2 linked regions of the Daphnia pulex genome follow. The protein of the gene in region 2 interacts with the protein of the main gene of each other region in a pairwise test. Links are inferred from orthologs where the notes say so. Each region holds a gene or a part of one and is shown on either strand. Other genes may lie near its edges.

Region 1 (11,100 bases), on a different chromosome or scaffold from region 2:
AAGATTTATTAATTTACCCCTAGTGCACGTTGTTAAGTTGATAATGTAGTCCTTAATGCTCACGTTATCAAAACAGATTGGGAAGGCCCTCCCCCTCCTAAAGGGACTGAAATATTTGTGGGGAAATTACCACGTGATGTGTTCGAAGATGAATTGTATCGAATCTTCTCTACAATCGGCCCCATCTACGAGCTCCGTTTAATGATGGATTTCAGCGGCTCAAATCGTGGCTTTGCCTTCATCCAATTCGCTCACCGACAAGATGCCAATCGCGCGATTCAGTTGATGGACAACTATGTATGTGCATATAGAACACTATTCAACACTTTTGAAATAGAACACATGTTATGTACTATTGATGATCTTATTTTATCCAGGAATTGAGACCAAGACACCACATTGGCGTGGTCAAATCGATCGACAATTGTCGCCTATTTATTGGAGGTATACCTAAAACCAAATCTCGCGAAGAAATTCAGGGTGAAATGGAAAGGCTGACCGAAGGCGTAACCAAAGTCATCGTTTACAGGTGAGTCTGTTTAAATTATTTTAAATCTATTTAACCTTAAGCTTTACGTTTTTGCATTCAGTTCCATCACAGATAAAACTAAAAATCGTGGTTTTGCGTTTGTCGAGTACATTAATCATCGTGCAGCTTCCAAGGCCCGTAGAAAGTTGATTCCCGACCGCATTCAGTTGTGGGGTAAAGAGATAGCTGTTGACTGGGCCGAACCGGAAAATGAAATCGAAGAAGACGTCATGTCGCAAGTATGATTATTGCATTAATCGTGTAACCGAACCAGAGTTGAAATATATTGTTTCTCGTTTAGGTTACGGTCCTGTACGTCCGCAACTTGTCGCTGACAACAACAGAACAAGTTCTGCGTGAATTATTCAACCGTGTATCAGACGACAATGTGCAGAAGCTTAAAATGATGCGTGATTTTGCATTTATTCATTTTTCATCCAGAGAAAAAGCTGAGAAAGCCATGCGCAACATGAATCGTAAGTCATTTTATTCCTCGTGTACGGCAGTTAATTTAATGTGCTTTAATTTTAAAACTTTACAGATACGGAGATCAATGGCACGACGATCGAAATTACTTGGGCAAAACCAGTCAAGGAGAAAAAAGCGATCAAATCTAAGCCGCCATCGAGAAAAACGTCTTCGGTTTCGATGAACTCGGTCTCTTCTACTTCGTCGTACAGTCCTTGCAAACCGGCACCAAAGTTTGCTCTTTCCGCTCAGAACAACCGCATATTGTCATCGCCGCCACCACGTCCGGTTCAGTGTCCCCCGGTCACTTTGCCACCGTGTACAATGATGCAACAATTGCCGCATCCGTTATCCAATCAGATTCCAAAGTAATCGTAACTTAAATGAATGTTCTTGCTTGAAAAGTTGCTAAATTATTAATTTTCCCACAGCGTCTTTACTTTGCCTCCTCCATTCCACGGCGGTGGTTTTCAGTCAAGTCCAACTGGATTTCCTTCGAATTCGTCGACATCAGTTTTCCCACATCAAGGAAATTTCATGCAAGCCGCAACTATTGACCTCAACGTAATTTTCTTGTATTTAAAAATCTATCAAGTCACCGTAATTTTTATTTTTTTATTAATAGGGAAATCGTAACTACAACACTCATGGCATTATGGCGGATACCAACAACCGCATGCGCAAAACTACTGATCCGGTAAGATTACAATTAAAATTCGACCATCAGGGTTAATGTTTACTTTACCATTTCTTTTTCTTTAGATGATGTTCACTAATTTTGGACCACCGCTTCATCCGCAACCGAACTGGGTAAATTTTAAACTAGTATTTACTATTAGTAGAGTTTCATTAATTTAGGGTTTTATTCCTATTAATTCAGATGGCAGAGGAGCGTAGTCGTTCTGGGATGACTCGCGACTCACTTAAGTTCCCGATGGATGGCCTCAACACTCAGTTTCACAAGCTGGGCTGTATTAACAACTTGAATCGCGTGGGTTTTAATGGAAACGTCAGTGTAAATCCATTCCAAATCATCTCACCTTTCCCGTCTCGTCCAATGATGCCGTAGATATCCCACATATTTACTTATGGTTATTCGGGTATGGAATTCCACCTGCCAATGAGGCATTTTCTTTTATTAATGTACTTCATTCTCTTATTTTTATTACTCCGTTTGAAGTTTCACACTGCATTGATAGTTTTCTCAGTGCAAATCTGATGCATTTTAATGTCTTTTTCCCCTTACTCTTTGTCCCACAGAACCAATTGCAAACTTCAACTTAACTTATTTGATTTCTTAACGTAAATTACCATTAATGTCAACCATAAATTAACATTTTGATTAATAAGAATATTTACAAGGATTTCTGATTTACGTAGATACTTAAATACTGAAGGTTACCTTCTGTTTCAATTTCAGAGCAAATTTTTTATAAAAATAGCATTAGAAATATTTAGAAGTTCATCCATGAACGAAACAAATGCTAAATTTAAAAATCAAACAAATTCTTTATAGTATTTCAAAATAATTCCAAAACAATTTATTTTTCTTTTTACTTCGATTTGCGTCCAAATGGATTTTAATAATTTTGTGAGTCTTCAATGGGTTCTGTGGGTTGCATCATTTTTCCTTAACTGTTGATTATTGTTCTGTATCACTTTCAATGTTTGTGCCTTGAAAAATATTTAATCCAGTTCTCATTCTTATTATTTATGGAAGCAAAACGAAACATGTACTTTCTGACTTGCTGTTCCAATAAACCCGATTAAGAAAATCATGCCTCCGAGTTGTTTTTTAATTATTAATTTTTTTCCATTGGAAACCATAATCCTATTTGCAAGTGTGTTCGACTTCTAAGTTGCCTGATTTATAGGATAACCAAGGACCTTGCCTCTTTAGTTTACTAATTTTTCTTTGATGATGAACACAAAAACGAATAAAATTCAAAAATTGAGGGAATATGAAACCATCTATTTAAATTCCGAAAGGGGTTTAGATTCATCGACAGACATGGAATTTTCGTTATCAGATGCTTCATCCTCATCACAGTTATTAGAGCTCAGAAATTTTTCACTTATTGTTCCAGAAAACTCGCCATGAAATTGTGCACCCACAGCTGTCGATAGTAAGGCAACGATATTTCTTTCATTTTCTTCGCCGGCTCCAAACACATAACCATTAGCTTTGTCTACAGCAGCACGAACATTCTTTAGTAATTGGGAGTCAGAGATGGATAGAGGCAAGAACGAAACAAAGCTGTAGTTTTCTACCACATCAATTAAAGCAGCATTTAACTGCCGATATTTCTTCATGAAAGGATCCGCATTGATTGCTTCCAACAGGTAATTCAAATCCAACACCTCAGTGTAAAAGTCGAGACCAAAGTGCAGCCGTCCATGTTGTTCAGCCAGGTCTACTTTAGACAGTACGTTAACCTGTGGCATTTCCATTTGGAACATGGATGTCATGGCCGTTAACAACACCGATATGAATTTACCTGATACAAATGTTTGGTTACTATGGTTCTATCTGTTAACAAATGCGGGTTTACCTGGATCACTGCAATAGTGAGAGTCGATCAGTTGAACACAGCATAAACGAAAACCAAATGCTTCTAACTGTTTCATAATGTTTTTTACAGAATTGTTGTGGGTATAGAGCTCAACCTACACAAAAAAGATTATTACAACTTTTCTAGAAAACAGTATCACCTGTATTCAATATACCTGTCCCGGTAGATCGAAGATGAAGTAATGATCTTTGAATTTCTCTATTTCCACAAAGAGCCAGTCCAAATTCTTTTCGAGGAATTCCATACAATAGACCAAGGCGCCGTTCGGACCCAAATTGTAATTTTCCATTACATCTTGGACAGTAATCAATTTTGATACATCAATGGAAGAGGTAAACGGTAATAAATCATTCCCAGGATCTAATCACAATCATATTAGAGATTTTGATTGGAAAAGTATAATAACATTTTAAAATACCTAAATTAACTAGAGCTACTTTACGATTCTGGGATCGAAGGAAATCCGCCATTGCATGACAATAAGTGGACTTGCCGCTACCGGGAGGACCTTATAACATTACACGGTAAAAATGTGTAGCAAATTTACGAACGTAATTTCTACATACCGATAACGGCTTGGCCGAAGATGGTTTTTCTTACAGACATGTTGGAAAATTTATGCAGATTTTTCGGTGAGGGAAAGGTTGATCTTTAGGAATTCGCCAACTTGACGAAGAGTTTTCGGCTGATAGTCTTTAAGTGACAAGGCAAATAAAATGTTTTGCTGTGTTGGAATAAAGTTCACCAAGAAACGTGCAGCAACGTGAATTTCCTCGTCGTCTCGACCGAATAAGACTCTACAAAATTGCAATGAAAGTTAAAAAAACGAAACGAAATTGAGACGACATACAAGAATTACCGAACGCTGTAAACTGCACTGGAAGAATCGTCTTTCTGAGCAACGTCCCGACGGACTTCAACCACGTTTCCCACCTTGCCGTATTGAGTAAGTATGATAAATAACTTGTCGCTAAAAAGGACAATGAATTAAAGTGTAAGTAATGCAAGCAATGAACTAAAGAATTATTCCAACCTGAACTTTGAAATGACAACTTCTGTTGAATTCCCGTTAATCTCGATAGTTTCTGTTTTAGTCTGGACGGGAAATCTTCCCGCTACACCTTCCATATCAAACGATATCCAACCTGAAAGATATAAAAATGGTTCGTAAAAATTAGTGGTCGTATAACAGAATGGAAAGCAATAAAATGGTAATTGACGTCAACTAATTATGATGTGATAAATGCATTTTTTTTTAAATTTTATCCAATTTATTGATCACAATAATCAAAAATTTTTTAAAACTCTAGAAACCATTCTCCTCTTGTAAAAACGTTGATACTCTTCAGGCAGCATGGACAGGTGTTTCAGAGCAGATTCAACCATCTCCAACGCCTGCAGTTTGAAAGTTGAGATAGAAAAATAACCGAGGCCCTGAAGCTTTGACAGTGCCTTACTTTTGAGGCCGGTAGCGGATCTTTGTTGCCGTAAGGGTCTTTTTTATCGTACACCTCTGGACTCAAGTTTCGCCAGAAAACGTTGACTGCTACGGAGAACTCGAGTGATGTCATATTATGAAACCACAGAGCCGGGATGAAAAGAACGTCTCCGGGCTCCATGATACATTCGTGAGATGTTACTTTGGCGAACTCCGGAAAGTGTTCCAGATCAGGAAAATCAATGTCGATAACCCGAGATTTGTCGCCTTCCAAATAGAGATACGGAAGGTCTTCTGGCGAATAGAGAACGGCTCGTTTTTTGCCAGTGACTTGGACAAGAAGATTGTCCATCACATCGTAATGTGTCCACAACTGAACTCCTTCAGAAGCCACCCTGAGGACACTTGAAAAAATAGTGCTTGGTTCCAAAAACTTGGGAACTTGAAAATCTTGGCAAAGTTCAGGATAATGAGAATCAAGATTGGCAACCTCTCTTCCCCTTGAATCAGTTCCAAGTGCCCTTAAATAGTAAACTTCACTGTTTGTTAGAAAAAAGTTTTCGTGCTCATTTTCAGAAGACCTTTTGATTACTTGATCAAACGGCAGTGTTTTATAATGAAAGTTTTTGGTTAGGAAATTCATTTGCCCTGTTTCAGATACATGAATCTTCACTGGCTTATTCCCAACATTTTGCGAAAGATATTCAGCTGTCCACTTTCCTAGACAACTTCCAATGTCTAATCCTCTGAGTATGACAGGACTTCGTTTGGGATGGATCTCATCAAAAAATTGTTCCATTAGGATATTGTTATAGACGGGAACTGGGCTGACTTTTCTTTCAGTCATTTTAAAATTTACTCTACTAACGAAAGATGATCACGTGTAAAAACTTGCTTTGGCTATAACAATTGAATGTTACCTGCAAGGCGAAATGATAAAACTAATAACTATCGATAGACCGGTTCAATATACAGTTAAATTAACAGCAATGCACTTACCAAAAGCAGAGAATTAACTTCAACGGTATTGTTGTTTCGAATCAACTTTCAAGAGGAAAAATTTGAAGGAAAAATATGTTACAGCGACTGCAGACGGACTAAAACGAATAAACAACGTTGCAATTTGATCTAGATGTTTAATTTAGGTGGATCATCAACATTTATCAACTAAAATACAAATAGAAAAATCTATTGCAATAATTATTTTAAAATAAAAATTCTTAAAAAAAAATAAATCACCGAGATTATGTTTGTCCCAAAACGATTAAAAATAAAACAGCAGACTATTTTACATCAGAAAGGCGAGTAGATCGAATGTATTTTCCACTTTGAATAAACATAAAATAACACAGAATTCACAAAGAATCAATCATTTGACACAGAACACGATCCTCCTCAGTACACCCATTCCCAGAAGTTTGGTTGCTTGCATTGCCTTCTGAAGGTTGAACCCGTTCAACATCTATAAGGAGCTTGATGTTGCCTTCAGTTGGTTCAGGAATTGTGTTGACAGCCTGCTGAACCAATTCCCAAGCTTTGTCAAAATGTCTTCTGAAACGCTCTGCAATTTCCAATCTTTGTCGTTTTTGTTGTTCTAGCATAACTCTAAGAGTTTCCCTTGCTTGATGAGGCCGAAATTCATTGACCAGATGATGCATGTGAATGAAAAGCAAAGTGAGGTCATCAATTTTTGTGGCTCTTGCTTCAGACTCTGGATTTCGTATGCAGATATCAACCAAGTCAAGGAAACTAGCAGTGATGGAGTGATTGAGCTTTTTCAGTTCTCTTCTGTGGTCATAGTTATTAGGGTACAGACGTCGTATATTCTGGAATAGTAAAACGAGTATTAAAGAAAGCTTTGATTAAGAAAAAACTTCTATCACCTGGCTTTCAAGAGGTCGGATCACAGCATCATCAGTATTATATGGATTACCAAACATGGAATAATTGTCTGTGATCGGAGGAGGTGGTCTCGGTGTTCTTCCTCTTTTAGCGTTTTCTTCATTAAAAAGACTGACATATTGCATCGGTGGCAAAGGTAATGAACTAACTTGAGCCGTTTCTGACATTTTTACTTTCCCACTGGAATGAAGCAATATAGTAATGTAAACAATATAGTTTGTTTTCAAGAATGAAGAATGTGACGTTTTCTAGTTCGTTTGCTTGGGGATTTCAGCAGACTATTTTTTGATCAATGTTCTCCTTTTTGTGGCTGTCCCGACACGCCATTCTTGAATGGAAACAAATTTGATTTAGAATGTTGTAAAAGAATTCAATTTTACATTAAATTGTCATTAAATCAATTAATCGTTGTTTATTTTTTTATTTTAAATGTATATTTCCTCGATTTTATCGCTAATTTTCGGAGGAAATTAAATCCGATAATAGTTGTCGGCAACTGCCGCTAGATCTGTCCGAGTTGCCAGTATTTAGAGAGGTTTGGAGAGCTTTTTCTTCGTCCTGCTTTCATTCTCTTCGTACCAGGGTCCAGGGAGAAAGACAATGAACGAAGTTATAACAGCTTTATCAAGTGGGGACTACTTTTTTGATTAGTGATCGTTTTGTAAGTATGTTTAAAAGCTCTGCCAAACCTCTTGCAGGTGAGGTAAAAAAGCAAGGCAATTTAGTGAAACGATCACAGAACAAGAAGAGGTTTAGTTTGATCAACTACAAGAGTCGATGGTTCGTCCTTACCACAAAGTTCCTCGCCTACTACGAGGGCGAATGCGAGGTAAGGTTTAGTTCTACTAAACACGCATGGACTGTGTTCGTGAATCCCTTCATCACTAATTCATCACAACCATCAATTCCAAACAACAGAATCGCAAAGGAAAAGAAAAGGGACGTGTCGACCTCCAAACAGTGAAAGTTGTGGAAGCTGTTGATCCAGCACCTGACACACCTGCCATCGGTCCATTGGCAAACCTTACAGGTTCCATTCCGAGTGATTTGAAGGGATCTCCTGCTTTTCAGATAGTGTACAATCCTTATGAGTGTAATGAAGGTTGTAGTGCAACAGACTTGACTCTTTGCATTTTCACTCCCACTCAGCAAGAAAGAGATATCTGGCTTTGGAATATCCGAGTTGGTGAGAACATTCTCTTTTGACGTCTCAAGTAGTTATGTGTGACAAATAGCAGTATTTATCTCACATGTTCATTTTATCTCATCTAATAATTTATTTTATTTTTCTCCTGATAGTGGTCAAAGACAGTGCTCCTCTTGTGAATGTGTATCACCCTGCCCTGTGGGGGAATAGAAGTTATCTTTGCTGTGGATCAACCCAAAGGTCCACGTCTAAGGCAATAAACGGTTGCCGTTCTGTAACTTGGGCTCCCAATACACTTCAACACATGGGCATCAATTTCAGTAACATCATCCACCATCCGTCTCCCTCACCAAGTCCTGTCGCTAAACCTGCGAATGGGGCTGAAGTCGAGGCGGCCATGGTCAAACCAACGGCGATTAAACCCACGACGGAAATTCATCCGGCAATCGTCGGGGATGTTGTTCCTGCATCCCCTTCCACTTCTCACAACGCCGTTGTTGCGTTAGGTACTATACCCGCTTATGTATCCTACTAAGTGCTAACTAATGATTTACACCCGTTCGTTGCCTGCAATACTTCTAGGAAACAGTAGTTGTACGACTTCTAAGTACATGAACAACAGTTAATGTTGAGTTATTTCGCATCAAATCCTTAGTCAAGGACTTTGGGAGGGAGGGGGATTTAAGCCAATAGAAGCACATTCTAAGAAACTGCGTCGTTGGAATAGATTCAATTTGTTTTCCTTGTAAAAAAAACTAAATGGATAAAGTTATTACATCCACTTCACTTGCGAAGCTAAATTATCGGATAGCTGAAAAGATCAACTAATTATTAGAAAACTAGAGAAGTGAGTGTTGCGTGTGGCGCTGCAGTGGTTTAGAGAAAGAAAACTTGTGTGAGATTGGTACTGGCAATATTCATGAAAATTTTCTCTATTGAAAAATGTTGGGGATTTGCGGTCGGTCGGAGAGAAGAAGACCTAGAGAATGCACACAAGCTTGTTTTTCCCCGAGATTTTTTTATTCCTTTCGGCGGTTTTTAGTTCTAGCCCTCTCCCTGTACTCAGTGGGCACTGACCGCGTCTCTCATAAATCACGTTTCTTTTTCTCTAATGACGAGAAGAGGACTGCACATCTCATCAAGTCCCGTGTGAGAGCGAAAGCAAACGACAAACTGGACTATTCCTACGCGAAAGTGTGGGAGAGATGATGAAGCCAGCACAGCACAGTCTCTCATATCTCTCAGAAAAACAGCCTACGTTTGTTTCATTCAGATACTGAAATAGTTACCTGTCAGTTCGATTAGTGTTGCGCTTGTGTTTACGAGATAAAAAATAACGTGAGAATTATTGATAAGCTTCCACCTGCTGCCTTGGTCCATTGTTCAAATCTATTTTGTTGTAGTGCAAGTTTTGCAGTCAGCTCGCCCCTACCTATTTTGTTTCTCTAGTTTCAATGCGTGTATGTAAGTTTTACGTACATGGCTGATGTTTCAGAGGTTTTAACGGGCAAATTATGCGCATTTTTGGTTGCCGCTGGCCTATTTGGTCCACAATGTCTTCGGATTCTCTCTCTTATAAGATCACCGAAAGTAAATTGACTCTAGGTATGGTTCGGCTTCACCGTGTTGTGTTGTTTTTTTCTCTCATCGGTTTTCTTCTCATGTTACTACCCTTGAGCAATCGAAAATCGCACAGGCTATTCACGTTGACTCCCACCTGAAAGTCACCTGTTGAATGACTCAACAGGTGTTCAATGCGTTAAGTTACAATCGTAAACCATCGCGGTGGGTCTTTATGTGCACTTGGGTTTGGCTTGCCTTCCGACAAATTTCTGGAATTCAATTTCTAATTTTAATCTGTTGTATTTGAATGCTTGCGAGGGCAATCATTTCTTATGCGGTTGTGTTGTATGGAAAATATTTACATTTGTGATTTATTGTTTTCTTCGGGATTTCCCTAGTCCCCTTGCAGAAAATCCAGTATGTGAGATTATACCACAACTTATCTGTTGTCCGTTAATTCCTGTTTTCTTGGTTTCAACGTTTGAAAGTAGTAGTAGCGATAGAAACTTGTCGACAGTCTTGTGTGGTTGCGTGTTTCAATTCCCTCGAGCGTATTCTAGTGCCGTGTGTGTGTAAAGTGAGTTGGATGTTGATTAGATTCAAATCGACGGGAGCTCGGCTGACCTCACCTCCTCTTTCGTCAGCCAGAAATGGTCCAGACTGGACGTTGCAAGTTTTTCCTTTTCTTTTTTGGGACTATTAGAATAACTATTAGAAAAGTAAAAACCCGTCCTTGTTTACGAGTTTCTGACACGCGTACAATTCAAAGGAGCGCGTTAAAGAGAAGGGGAGAAAGTTCCCTCCTCAATTTCTCATACCGGTATCGAGTCTGCTAGGAAAAGCCTTCCTTATATCCATTGTTCGCCTGTGGTTGAATAGAAGACGCAGCAACGATTTCTCCCACACTCGTTTCTCCCATTCTATCCTTTTTTCTCTCTCTCTCCCCTCTTTTTCTCTCTTCTATCCCATTTTTTTATTTTATTTTTAGTTGTGTTTTGTATCCATCTCCAAGCCCTTGAAACTCTTAGGTCGAAGACTACATATAGACGACAGGCCTATTTTGTATGCCAAGGACGGAAGGTTATTATACGGCTGTGTATGTGTGTGTGTGTGTCAGTACATCCGCCAAATAAGCCTTTGAAAAGAAGAAGAGGAACAAAAAGAACCCCCCTCTCCCCAGCTTCCCTTCTCCCAAGTTCGATGATAATTCAGCTCTACGATGAAAATTACCTTTCAAACCATAAGACACCCCCCATCGTCTCTTGTTCGCTATCGTTGTTCTCCATCTATGTTATTTATTTTCCTTTAAACCGCCACTCATCGTGCGCTTTATTCTTTTTTCACCATTAGGTTCTTCCATCCCGACTGAACCCGCTGTCGTGCCTAAGAAGGTATGCAGTCAAAACGAAAGATTGACCCTTATTCATGTCTTGTTTATTTGCAAAAAACTAATCGTCGCATTCTTTGTGTTTACCTTTTG
Region 2 (10,730 bases):
GATTCAACCGAGGGGCGCTACTGCTGATAGACGAACGCTGAGCAATATCAGCCTCTTGTCGGGAATCAACCGAGCAAAGTGGATCAGCCGATTGCGTCTGGCTCGTCTCTCGAAATTCAACCGGCGTCAAGGCGGAAGGGGGAAGGCTGGCCGGTTGTGGCGAAACAGTAGCCGTAGAAGTTGGAGGACAACTAGGCACTGCTGCTGCGTTGGCAGCTGCGGCCGGATAGCCATAACCATAGTTGAAATAACCTTGACCGGATCCGGTTACCGGGCTAGGTTGGGAAGTTTCGACAAATGGATCTTGAGGGAAAGATGGAAAGAGCTCTTGCACTGATATCGGATTAGCTGGAGCAGCTGGTTGAAGCGGTGTAGGCTCAGCGGTAGTAGTTGGCAAGACGCGCCGAGCGGGATTCAGACTATTGGTAGGTAGTGGGATTTGACCTAGAGTACTGGTAATGGATGAAGCCTTGGGTCGTTGCCGAGGAGTGACGGTCGTCCCACCTTCAACAACAGGTGGCTGGCTGCTTAAAACCCTAGTACTTGGCATGCTTGGTGTAGTAATCGGCTTAACTTGAGCAGGTCGTGTATCAAGAGACGGAAGTTGATCTAGTTCGAGAGGCACGCTATGGAGGAGGTTTACGATGGGAGTTTCACCTCTACCAGCAAGTTTGAAAGCGGCATACGAGACTTGGTAGATGTCTGGCCTGCGATCCGAATCTGGATCGAGCATGTAGCGTACAAGTGAAACTAATTGCTTAGAATACCGGTGACCTTCAGGCAGATTAAACTGCCCGTTCTGGATGGCTAGTGTCGATTCACCAAAAGGAAGCGTGAAAAAGCAGAGCTTGTACAGGAGACAACCAAGGGCCCAAATATCTGCCTTGGTTGTGATGGATTTCCCCATGTATAAATCGACCATTTCGGGAGACCTACATATGGCATTATATAAGTTTTTTTTTTTTTTTACTTATTCCAACAGCAGTATAATTTTATATTACCTATAGGACAATGTAGTGTATTTTTTAATCTCTTCCTCAACAACAGCCACACCCATTGTGGATGGGTTAAGCACCTTGGCCGTAGCTGAACCAAAGTCACAAAGGACGTAATGGCCAGCGTCATTGAATAAAATGTTTTCCACCTGTGAAACACCGATTTAATAGTTTACATTCTTAGTCCAGCATTAATAAAATAAATCCTAGACATACTTTTAGATCACGATGTATGATGGGTGTCTGGCAGTGATGAAGCCGAGAAACAGCTTCACACATGTCACAAAAGATAGCCATAACTTCTGGCTCTGAGAAGCCTGTCTGCAGTCTTTCATTCATCAACTGGAGGACATGCATCTTGTAAAAGGGCATAAGGAGAAGCACCTCATACACCCCATTGCTTGACTGTGTGATGCTGGAGTCTATGTATCCAATAATATTCTTGTGCCCATTGAGTGTAGAAACAATCTGAATTTCTCTTCGGCAGGCAGCCAAGTCATGATCATTGTTGACATGCATACGTTTTAAAGCATAGCGACTGCCATTAGATGCCTTAACTAGGAAAACAATTGCAAAACCACCTAGAAAAGAATTCATGGATTAAAAGTGAAACAATTCAATATTATTTGATAATAAAATTACAAACCTTCGGCAATAATGTCTTCAACTGTGACAGAGTACTGTTTTCCCACTTGAAACACTTTTCCAACAAGGCTCTGACCACCTTTAGACTCCTTCTGAGAAGGGTCAATTTTTGTCTCAATTTTAGAGAATAATTTCTTCATGATTAACTATATACAGCCTGTGTGTTAGGGAAAAATATACGATATAGTGAAAATCTACAAATATAGAAAAGAAGCAACCGAGATATTGCGACATAAATTGACAGAAAAACTTACAGCTGAAGACAAAGAGATAATCCGAATCACGATTAACAGGAACGTCAAACTGGGGTGGCAGAATCACGACGAAAAAGACGTCATGCGAAATAAATGAATATCATTGGAACACGAATCCAAATAATTTTCTTATCTTCCGAAATTTCTCTCGTCTTCCGAACGGGATTTTGCTTCTTTTCCACCCCCTATAAAACCTGTCAGAAGCTTCACAAAATTCTCGCTTGAGCACTTGGCAGTGCAATCGGTTCTGTTGCCTAGCAACAGTCTATTGCAGACGACGCAGGAAACCAAATCAAAATAGTCATTTTGGAATTGAAGTGTTTCACGTGTCTGAAATATAAAAGATTTCCTGTTAGAAATAAAATGAGATATGCACAAATTGTCATTGGCCCAGCAGGCTCTGGAAAAGTAAGTTTAGATGAAAAACCAATCAATGTTTCCTTAAAAAAAGATGTAACAAAATGAATTTGTTTTTAGTCCACCTACTGCACTGAAATGCAACGACATGCTGAAACTTCTCGACGAAATATTCACATTGTAAATTTGGATCCAGCAGCCGAGTCTTTCGAATATAAACCGTCCATCGATATTCGAGACCTCATTCATGTGGACGATGCAATGGAAGATGAGGAAATGCATTTTGGACCAAATGGAGCTCTTGTTTTTTGTATGGAGTTTCTTCTGGAAAATTTGCCGTGGCTAGAGAATCAACTTGGAGAAGATGATGATGACTACTTCATTTTTGATTGCCCTGGACAGATTGAGCTATACACACATCTCAATGTTATGAAGAAATTGCTGGAAGCACTAGAGTTATGGAATTTCAGATTGTGTGCTGTCTTTATCTTAGACAGTCACTTTATGATAAACTCTTCATCATTTATATCAGCATCAATGGCTGCTCTAAGTGCCATGACAACCTTGGAGGTTACATTCATCAGCATCTTGAGTAAAATTGATTTGTTAAGCAAGAAGAGTAAAAAGCAACTGGAAAGGTGAGAACTTATCATTTCAACAGTTTTCCTCAACTAATGCCTGCATTTTGTGTAGATTTTTGGAGCCGGACGTGAAAGACATATGTGCGAACGATACGGTTGTGGTCAATTCAAAATGGAATCAAAAACATCAGATGCTTACTGAAATGATTGGCCGAGTTTTGGAAGACTATTCTCTAATCAAATTCGCACCGCTTAATATAACGGACGAAGACAATCTCGCCAATATTCTGTTCATGGTGGACAACTGCATGCAGTTTGGAGAAGACAGGTACCTTTCTAGTTATAGTAGCAAAGGGTTACAAAACAGATCAGTCATTCATTAATTGCTGTTCAGGGATATAAAAATGGCGGAATTTGATGCTCCTGACGAGGAAGACGAGGACAACGATGACGGTTACGAAGAAGGAAGGGGATGAGTCAATTAAATATCACTTACTTACGAATTTATTATTTCTTTTTCCTTGAAACACAATACACCGCAATTTTTTCAGCATTTCTGTATATTTTGTATTTTCAGATGACATTGATGTACATCATGTTATTGTCGTAACATTAGTGGTGTTAAGTGAAGATGGCGCTAGGATTTACGAAGGTTTATTCGATTTCGACTGTTGCTTCTTCTTCTGTTCTTCCAAGAAGTTGTGGAATGATTTCTGACCAACTCGGTCTTCTTCATCTGCCAAAAATTAATTATTGGTTATTAGGAATAAGCTAACTATATTCACAATCACAAAATATTTATGTATACCATCGTCGTCTCCAGGGCGCCCTTCGTGTTCTTCATCATCACTACTGGATTCTCCGCCGATGGCTCGATTGCGCAACAATATTTCAGATGTCGCACTTGATACACTTTGGGCTTGTACATCGTTGTCAAAATCGTGTTGAAATTTTTTCTTTTGGCGGTCTTTATCCTTCGTACGGGCTTCGGCTTGAAGTTTTAGCAAGCGATCATGTTCTGGGCAGTATTCTCTATGAAAGAAAATGTAATTTCAATAAGTTGTTCTGCCGAAATTAAATTTAAGTAATAGTCGTTTACGTTTCGTATTCAACAACGGCGGCATCGACAGCGGCCAGAAATTCTTCAAATCCTTCTCCAGTAACAGCAGAAAAACCAACAGTAGTGATATCCTTGTAGAATTCGTCTAATGTCAAAGACAAAGATCGTGATAGATTTGCATGGTGGCTCTTATCTCTTTCCACTGCCTCTTCAAACATCTCAAAATCTTTCATCCATTCCAGAGCAAACTTATGACTCACAACATCAATCTGCCAACAAAAAATTTATCAATTTTGATTTATCTATAATTTTGAAATATGACATACCTTGTTCATGACTATGATAAAAGGTAGTCTGAGTTTGTAGAGGATGGAGCATGCATATAGCATATTTGACATGAATGTTACAGGACTGACACTACGAACAGTATCTATAACATAGACCACTACTGTTGGGAAAAGAGCACCTAGTGTCTCTGAGATAATAGATCCAGAAGCTGACCAAGTGAAAACTTCAATTTGCCCTGGTGTGTCAAAAATAGCGATTTCTGTGTTTTCAGATTTTTTTTGTATCAGTTTGATAACTTGATCAAATTTTGTGGCAAAGAGATTTAACGAAGTGACAATGCCACCATTAGGTCCAAGTGAGTACTGTTTCATTACTTCCTAATGCAAGTAAAAAAATATTTATATATAAATGACAATTCAACAAGTAGGCAAAAATTGATGTCTTACTTTATAATTGACTGTGTCTCTTATGTCAATGTTGACTGGATAAGGTACTTCTCTACAAGCTGGATCTAAATTGATCACGTAAGGTGCCTTCTTTTTCATGTGTAGGAGACCCGTTAGCTGTTGTACAAATGTCGTTTTCCCCGAACCAGCCATGCCGAGAACAATTAAACAAACTGGTTTTTTGTGTCTCTCGAGCAAAGGTTGATCAATTTCTGCTTTTTTTACTGGATCTTCAGCTGTCGCCATGGTGAGTTTACAAAAAATTTAATTTGATAATGAACAATTTTTTTCTTCAGCTCAAAGACTAACGTGTTCAAACTACAAGCGAGAGCAAAAGAAGAAAACAAGAGAAAAACGTGTTTGTTTGAAAAGATGTCTGCTAGAAGAACTAGTGCTTCCCTCTATACTTCATTAATTTCGTCTGCACTTTGCCATTCTTTTACCAAATCCTCACTGAAGTGACACTGTCAGTCACGTGTAGATAACAGGAAAGCATTTAACTTGTGTGAGTTTTGATTCGTTCTGACGCAAATGGCTCCAACATTTTCAGATTCCGATGACGATTCATTCTTTGACGACGAGGATGAAGAAATTTCTAGTGATGAGTGCCAATCAAAGCCCATCACGGAACCGCAATCTAGCAAGCCAAAATTGAGCAAACATCTAGAGCAACTTCAAAGTAGACTAGGTACTTTAGAGCTTCTATATTTTTTTTTTTTTTTTTTTTATGTTCATGCAATTTTTAATTGTCATTCTTTTATAGGCCTCAAGGAATTAAAAAACAAACTTGCAACACCAATAGAAGAGCAGCCCAAACCATTGACAGTCGGGAAATCAGAGCCTCTAATTGTTGTATACAATGACCCTAGCAAACGAAAAAAGCTCAAGAAAAGCCAGGCTACACAAAATTCATTGTCTCAAGTAGAAGACAATTTTCCCGAACCAGAAGAATTTAACCTGATCAAGACAAAACATGAAGTTAAAAAATTTACTATAAAAGCCTTGAAGAAGACCAGCAAAAATCAAGCTCAGATAGCTCTTGCAGTGTCCCTAGGAGCAAAGCCTCCAAAGGCTATGCCAGTCAACTATAAAGTAATGCAGCACTGCAAGAAAAAGGAAGAAGGAAGACAAAAGCGACTCAAACAAGCTGAACACATATTTGCCACTAAATTACAATTACCAAACAAAAAGAAGGGTCCTAGGAGGGATAGAAATAAAGTGGTTAATTTTGATGCTGGTTTTGGAAAATTTGGTCCAAAACTTCAAAAACAAATTAAGAATGCAAAAAAATCTAAAAAATGACTTAATGAGAATACAATGTTTATTTGTGATATTTTCACGTCCTGGTAAATTATTTCCATAACAATTCGAATGAAAAACGTCAGTTTTCTTTCTTTTTTGTCACCACTTCGGATGTCGAGTTTTTATTTCTTTTTCTGGGGTTTGGGCTTAAATCGGTCCAGTACACTCGGTGCAGCAACTGGCTCGGATGGCGCTTTATCTGTTTTCTCTGTCAACGTTTTCGTCGCTTTTTCGGCAGCCGCCGCATGTTTCTAAGCAAATAGGAGTGGATTAAGAATTGGGCAGTTTAAAAAATTTAATGAGAAAACAAACCAGTCGTTGTTGTAACTGTAGACGTTGTTTGACGCGGAACTGATTAACCGTTTTAGCGTTTTTCCGCTGTCTGACGTCGATCTTTGGAGGCTTAACAAACTAAAGAGTAAAGTTAGATTTAAATACAAAAGAATAAAGCGTAACACAAATAAAAGTTTTTAAATAACCACTATACCATGTAACGAGTCTTTTCTTCGAACTTCTCAATCACTGATTGCCGATTGACTTCACCCAATTCGAAGGGATCCAAAGTAATGAGTTCAGGTTGAATCTGTTGAGGTAGTAAAGAGAATACGAAATTATTGTTTGAAGCAATTGGTAAAATATTTTGATTGTAACCTTTTCAAGAAGCGATTTGACTTCTGTTTCCCGTCGCTGGCTTTTAGTCTGGAACGGATTAGATTCGAGAGCATCGAAGTTGGGTTCTCCAGCTCCCGGTACCAACATGCTGCACATCCCTCTTGCGTGGCCTACGCCCAACACGTCTTCATAAGGACAAAATTTCAAGCCCGAAACCGAACTGCCAACGAAATGTTTTAAATACGGCTTGTGGATGGTTTCGGTACAAATGTCTTTATAGACCTGAAATAAAAATTGGTGAACACGAACCTCGATAAGGCTTTGCTAAATTAGAAAATAAATGTTGTCTAGTTAAATACCTCAACAATGTTGCCCATGGATACAGCCAACAGTCCTCTTTGACTGAATGTAATATTTGAAGCTCCACAGCCTAGTTTGTAGGATTGAAGACAATTGTAGGTTCTCAGGTCCCATATCTTCAGCGAACAATCTATAGAGGATGTGGCCATATAAACACCACTCTGGTCGACAGCGACCGATCGAACGGGCTGCGTATGGCAAAGCATTTTGACAACAGGCGATACGAAATTGGGAGTCCACATCGAAACTGTGCCCTTCGAGTGTCCGCAACAAAGGACAGCGTTTCTGGGATTGTGACACAGAACATCCAGTCTTCCAAGGTGTGTGTGAGTCCGCTTAACCATCTTTCCCATAGAAACATCCAGCCAACTTAAAGTTCCGCTATCGTTCTGTAAGAGACAAATAAATAATTAAATCGAGAGGATTTGAAAATGCATTATTATTTGCTTACTGTGGTAGCCAAGAGGAAATGATATGGAAGAAATTCCATCCTGAGAACATTGTTCAATTTCTTGATGCAGTGCACTTCAATGCCCTGATTGTCATAGATGTATGTCCACTCTTTCTGCGCTACTGCAAACAGTGTCTCATTGTGCAGCCAAGCCACATCGTGAACTGATTCCATAACGTTCATTTCGCAAGTCAACTGCTTCGTGACCCAATCGAAGGCAGCAACGTGACCCATTCTACCGCCAATGAGCATTTTTCGTCCATTACGTAAGTAATTGATGGCATACGGACCAAATTGCATGGATAAATCAAATTGTTTCGTGGCACTGGTAATATCCACAGAACTCTTGATCTGTACCTGCGTAATTTCCGAAGTGCAATCACCCTTGGCAGGCTCAAGGAAACCAGTTTCCTCTGGCAGCAGAATTTCTGATCTGGCTGCTAAGTTAACTGCATACTTGACGAGTTTTTCCTTTTTCTTCAAATGAATTCTGTTTGAAAGGAAAGTGACACCATTCTTGTCAAGGTCTTCTGCCTTTCCTCTTTTGTGCTTCTGGAGTCTGGCATGAGGAATCGGCGCATCACCTGGGAAAGGATCTTCTTCAGTTTGATTGTCTTGTGTATCTTCTTTCCCTTTTTGGCCAGTCTTCGGAGATCTTGAAAACTTCTGCACTGCACCCGAATTAGGAGTTTTTCCATGTGAAGACTTAAACTTTGGTAGTTGTCTCTTAACCACGCGACCTTCAGCTTTTTTAGTAAAAGTATTGTTAGGTTTTTTATTCTTAGTTTTTCGGAGTAAATGTTCGTCCTTTGGAGGCTTGAATTTCTTTTTCAGATTTTGTGTTGCAGTTGAGGGTACTTCACTAGCTGGCTTTTTTTCGCTGCCTTTCGGAGAACTCATTTTGAAAACAGAAATAGTTTATTGCTCAAACTGTGTTAATTTCTTTGAATGATACTGCAGTCGAACGCATGCCCACGTGAGTAAAAAATAAATGAAACTTCAGTTAAAAATTTGGATTTTAATTCGTCTGCTAGCAAAGTTGCCACATTAAAATAATGTAATATAGCAGACGAGAATTAGAAAAGAAAAAAGTTCAAAATTCAAACGAATAAAGAATTTTCAAATTTCAAATTTAACATCGGACATTCTTACATAAACCATGACCACGCGTACTACTATGAACACTTATTACATGTTTCATAAAAAACATTTGTCCGGCAAATAATTAATCAGCAGATATAGGCAACTGACTGACGTATAATCCCTGTCCCCTAATTTAATGCATCAAATTAATTTTAAAAACAACGTACCCTTTCCTCCCTTCAAATTAAAATTGTATGGATTATGTGTTATGTCTCTTAGTTTCGAATTATGGGGAATTAAAAGTCGTTGTGGGATACGACGAAAGTACAACAGTGCAACCGCAACATTTCCGTCAGGACGATCTAAATAATGATATCACATCTCAACCTTTAAGCGTCTTTATTTTCGGTGTATTCACTGTTGATAAAGGTCGTGAATTTTAGGCGGTTTGTGTCTTCCTGGAACTGGGACCATCAGCAAGTTCGCCCAAAAATCGAGACGTAGAGACTTTTGAGAGATTTAACTTGCCATTTTACGCAGCAAGTCACGGAAATTGAAGGTCATACTAACAGCAAAGGGGGCTTCACGGAAACAGGTGTCGTTCCTATCAGTTAGTGTTTGTTTCAGCTGCCGCTTATGACTATAGGTATAACACAATATTAAAATAATAAGGAGTGATCCAGTGATGAAAAGTGTATAATGTTGGCTTAGGCAGATTTTTTAAGATTATAATCCTGAACGGAATATGTTCAGTTTGTAAAAAAACTTGCTGGCACAGAATGATTCGGGAGATTAGGGCATTTCAGTATAAGACGATTGCATAGGAAATTGCTGTAAAGGGCTTAATCCGGACACTATAAGAAATAATCAGTCGAATGAGATGTCCAAGAAAAAGCCAGACTCACGCATACGGTTCGAGAATTATGAGAGAACAACTTTGACAGCTCATGGAAACCTCTAGGTATACCTACCTATACACTGATGGAACTCTAAGCCATGCTCTAAGTTCAAACACAAAATTGTTGTTAAGCTTCTACAACGTTGTAAACCAATTTTGTTTTCTTTTAATGGCATAAAACAAAATCGCCCTCATTGGACAATTTCGAAATTATAGGTATAAACACAATATAGTAAACAAATGTAGAAAATTAATTTATTCAAGTGCGCACGTATGTGTAACGACTAACGATCGAATTAATCGATCTCTTTCATCTTCTCTCATCTCGAGATATTAATAATTCCCTTTGTATTCTTTCATGAATTTCGTTCACATTGGTCTTTTATATTCTGTTGCCATGCGTGAGCACTGTCAGCAATGACTGCATTGACTAATCCCTGCATTATATTCACAGATTCCATAATAATAGGAAAACTATTTTTCACATCGCCAAGTGCAAAAAAAAAACGATTATCCATATATTTATTCCAGCTATTCAGAACGTTTCCTCTTCCAATTCCAATCGTGACAACTGCAGCAGGTACACTCGTGCAGCATTACCTTGAAAACGTATTCTTAGTGGATAGTTTGCGTAGTCTCGCGATTACAATTTTAAAGCAGTTATATAGCAGCAGTCTAACATCTCCCGGTTCCCAAGTCAATTTAATCAGGCAACTTTCATTAGCGGCTCATGAGTTTTAATCCCGCGTACCTACGCACTCTTTTCTCTCAAATTCGCTTGCCAAGTTCTATATAGCTGAGCGCTATGTCGTATTTCTACACCAGCAGCATCCGCTTTTATGAAATAAGAATAACTTAGCTTTTTACAGTTTTAGCACAAACTTGGTAGGTAGGATATCTCATTAACAACTTATGACTCTCCACTCCAAGTATTTCATCAGGAGGCTAGCGAATGAAATCGATAACACCAGTTAGACCCGCTTCGCTTAGTGCGCTAACTATAGTAGATATCTCCTTGATTAGGATTAATGCCAATCCTATAATCAAAATAAAAACATTTAAAATTATTCAACATGGGACTATAATCTAAAAATAGTCGTCCATTCTATAAGCCCACGGAAATGAAAATTTGGATAACATAATACGCCCAGACGCATTATTTTGTATTCAGAAGCGTAAAGAATCATAATACAACACGGTTTTTATTGTGTGAGTAGGTCAATAAATAGTATACAACAAAAAAGAGTGGCGATTGAAAGAAAAAGTCTGCTGGGATATAATAATAATAAAGCATATATAGAACGGACGTCGGATGCTGTGCTGTTCACATCATGCGCGCACCCGCCAACTTCTTGTAAATCAAATTCTTACAAAGTTTTAAATGTCAAGATCGAGAGA

The links. The genes of interacting proteins can lie anywhere in the genome.
Region 1: the proteins of GPN-loop GTPase 1-like (region 2) and GPN-loop GTPase 2-like interact in binary tests that used the Homo sapiens proteins (3 or more experiments, as listed by UniProt). The link is inferred for Daphnia pulex from reciprocal best matches to the Homo sapiens genes GPN1 and GPN2.

What each region holds. Positions count from the first base shown.
Region 1 is NC_060019.1:10,645,091-10,656,190, reverse strand, and holds GPN-loop GTPase 2-like, read right to left. Parts: upstream 6,156-11,100; 5' UTR 6,008-6,155; intron 5,929-6,007; exon of another isoform or gene 5,856-5,928; coding exon of another isoform or gene 5,028-5,855; intron 4,966-5,027; coding exon of another isoform or gene 4,858-4,965; exon of another isoform or gene 4,716-4,857; 5' UTR 4,699-4,715; coding exon of another isoform or gene 4,604-4,698; intron 4,541-4,603; coding exon of another isoform or gene 4,430-4,540; intron 4,368-4,429; coding exon of another isoform or gene 4,187-4,367; 5' UTR 4,177-4,186; coding exon 4,137-4,176; intron 4,079-4,136; coding exon 3,989-4,078; intron 3,931-3,988; coding exon 3,725-3,930; intron 3,665-3,724; coding exon 3,550-3,664; intron 3,496-3,549; coding exon 2,969-3,495; 3' UTR 2,949-2,968; downstream 1-2,948. Other genes in the region: probable RNA-binding protein 46, read left to right, coding at 77-297, 378-529, 591-768, 831-1,005, 1,071-1,365, 1,429-1,561, 1,623-1,694, 1,760-1,807 and 1 more; proteasome assembly chaperone 3-like, read right to left, coding at 4,187-4,367, 4,430-4,540, 4,604-4,698; mediator of RNA polymerase II transcription subunit 7-like, read right to left, coding at 6,364-6,834, 6,892-7,077; tyrosine-protein kinase Btk29A-like, read left to right, coding at 7,578-7,739, 7,829-8,096, 8,210-8,563, 10,971-11,011. UniProt on the Homo sapiens protein: Small GTPase required for proper localization of RNA polymerase II and III (RNAPII and RNAPIII). May act at an RNAP assembly step prior to nuclear import.
Region 2 is NC_060025.1:7,099,090-7,109,819, forward strand, and holds GPN-loop GTPase 1-like, read right to left. Parts: upstream 4,996-10,730; 5' UTR 4,873-4,995; coding exon 4,627-4,872; intron 4,558-4,626; coding exon 4,219-4,557; intron 4,162-4,218; coding exon 3,932-4,161; intron 3,865-3,931; coding exon 3,641-3,864; intron 3,569-3,640; coding exon 3,477-3,568; 3' UTR 3,321-3,476; downstream 1-3,320. Other genes in the region: AP2-associated protein kinase 1-like, read right to left, coding at 1-932, 1,002-1,144, 1,212-1,576, 1,642-1,780; GPN-loop GTPase 3-like, read left to right, coding at 2,258-2,302, 2,372-2,889, 2,945-3,160, 3,227-3,308; uncharacterized protein C1orf131-like, read left to right, coding at 5,158-5,314, 5,390-5,928; WD repeat-containing protein 46-like, read right to left, coding at 6,051-6,179, 6,241-6,339, 6,416-6,511, 6,580-6,822, 6,900-7,289, 7,352-8,251. UniProt on the Homo sapiens protein: Small GTPase required for proper nuclear import of RNA polymerase II (RNAPII). May act at an RNAP assembly step prior to nuclear import.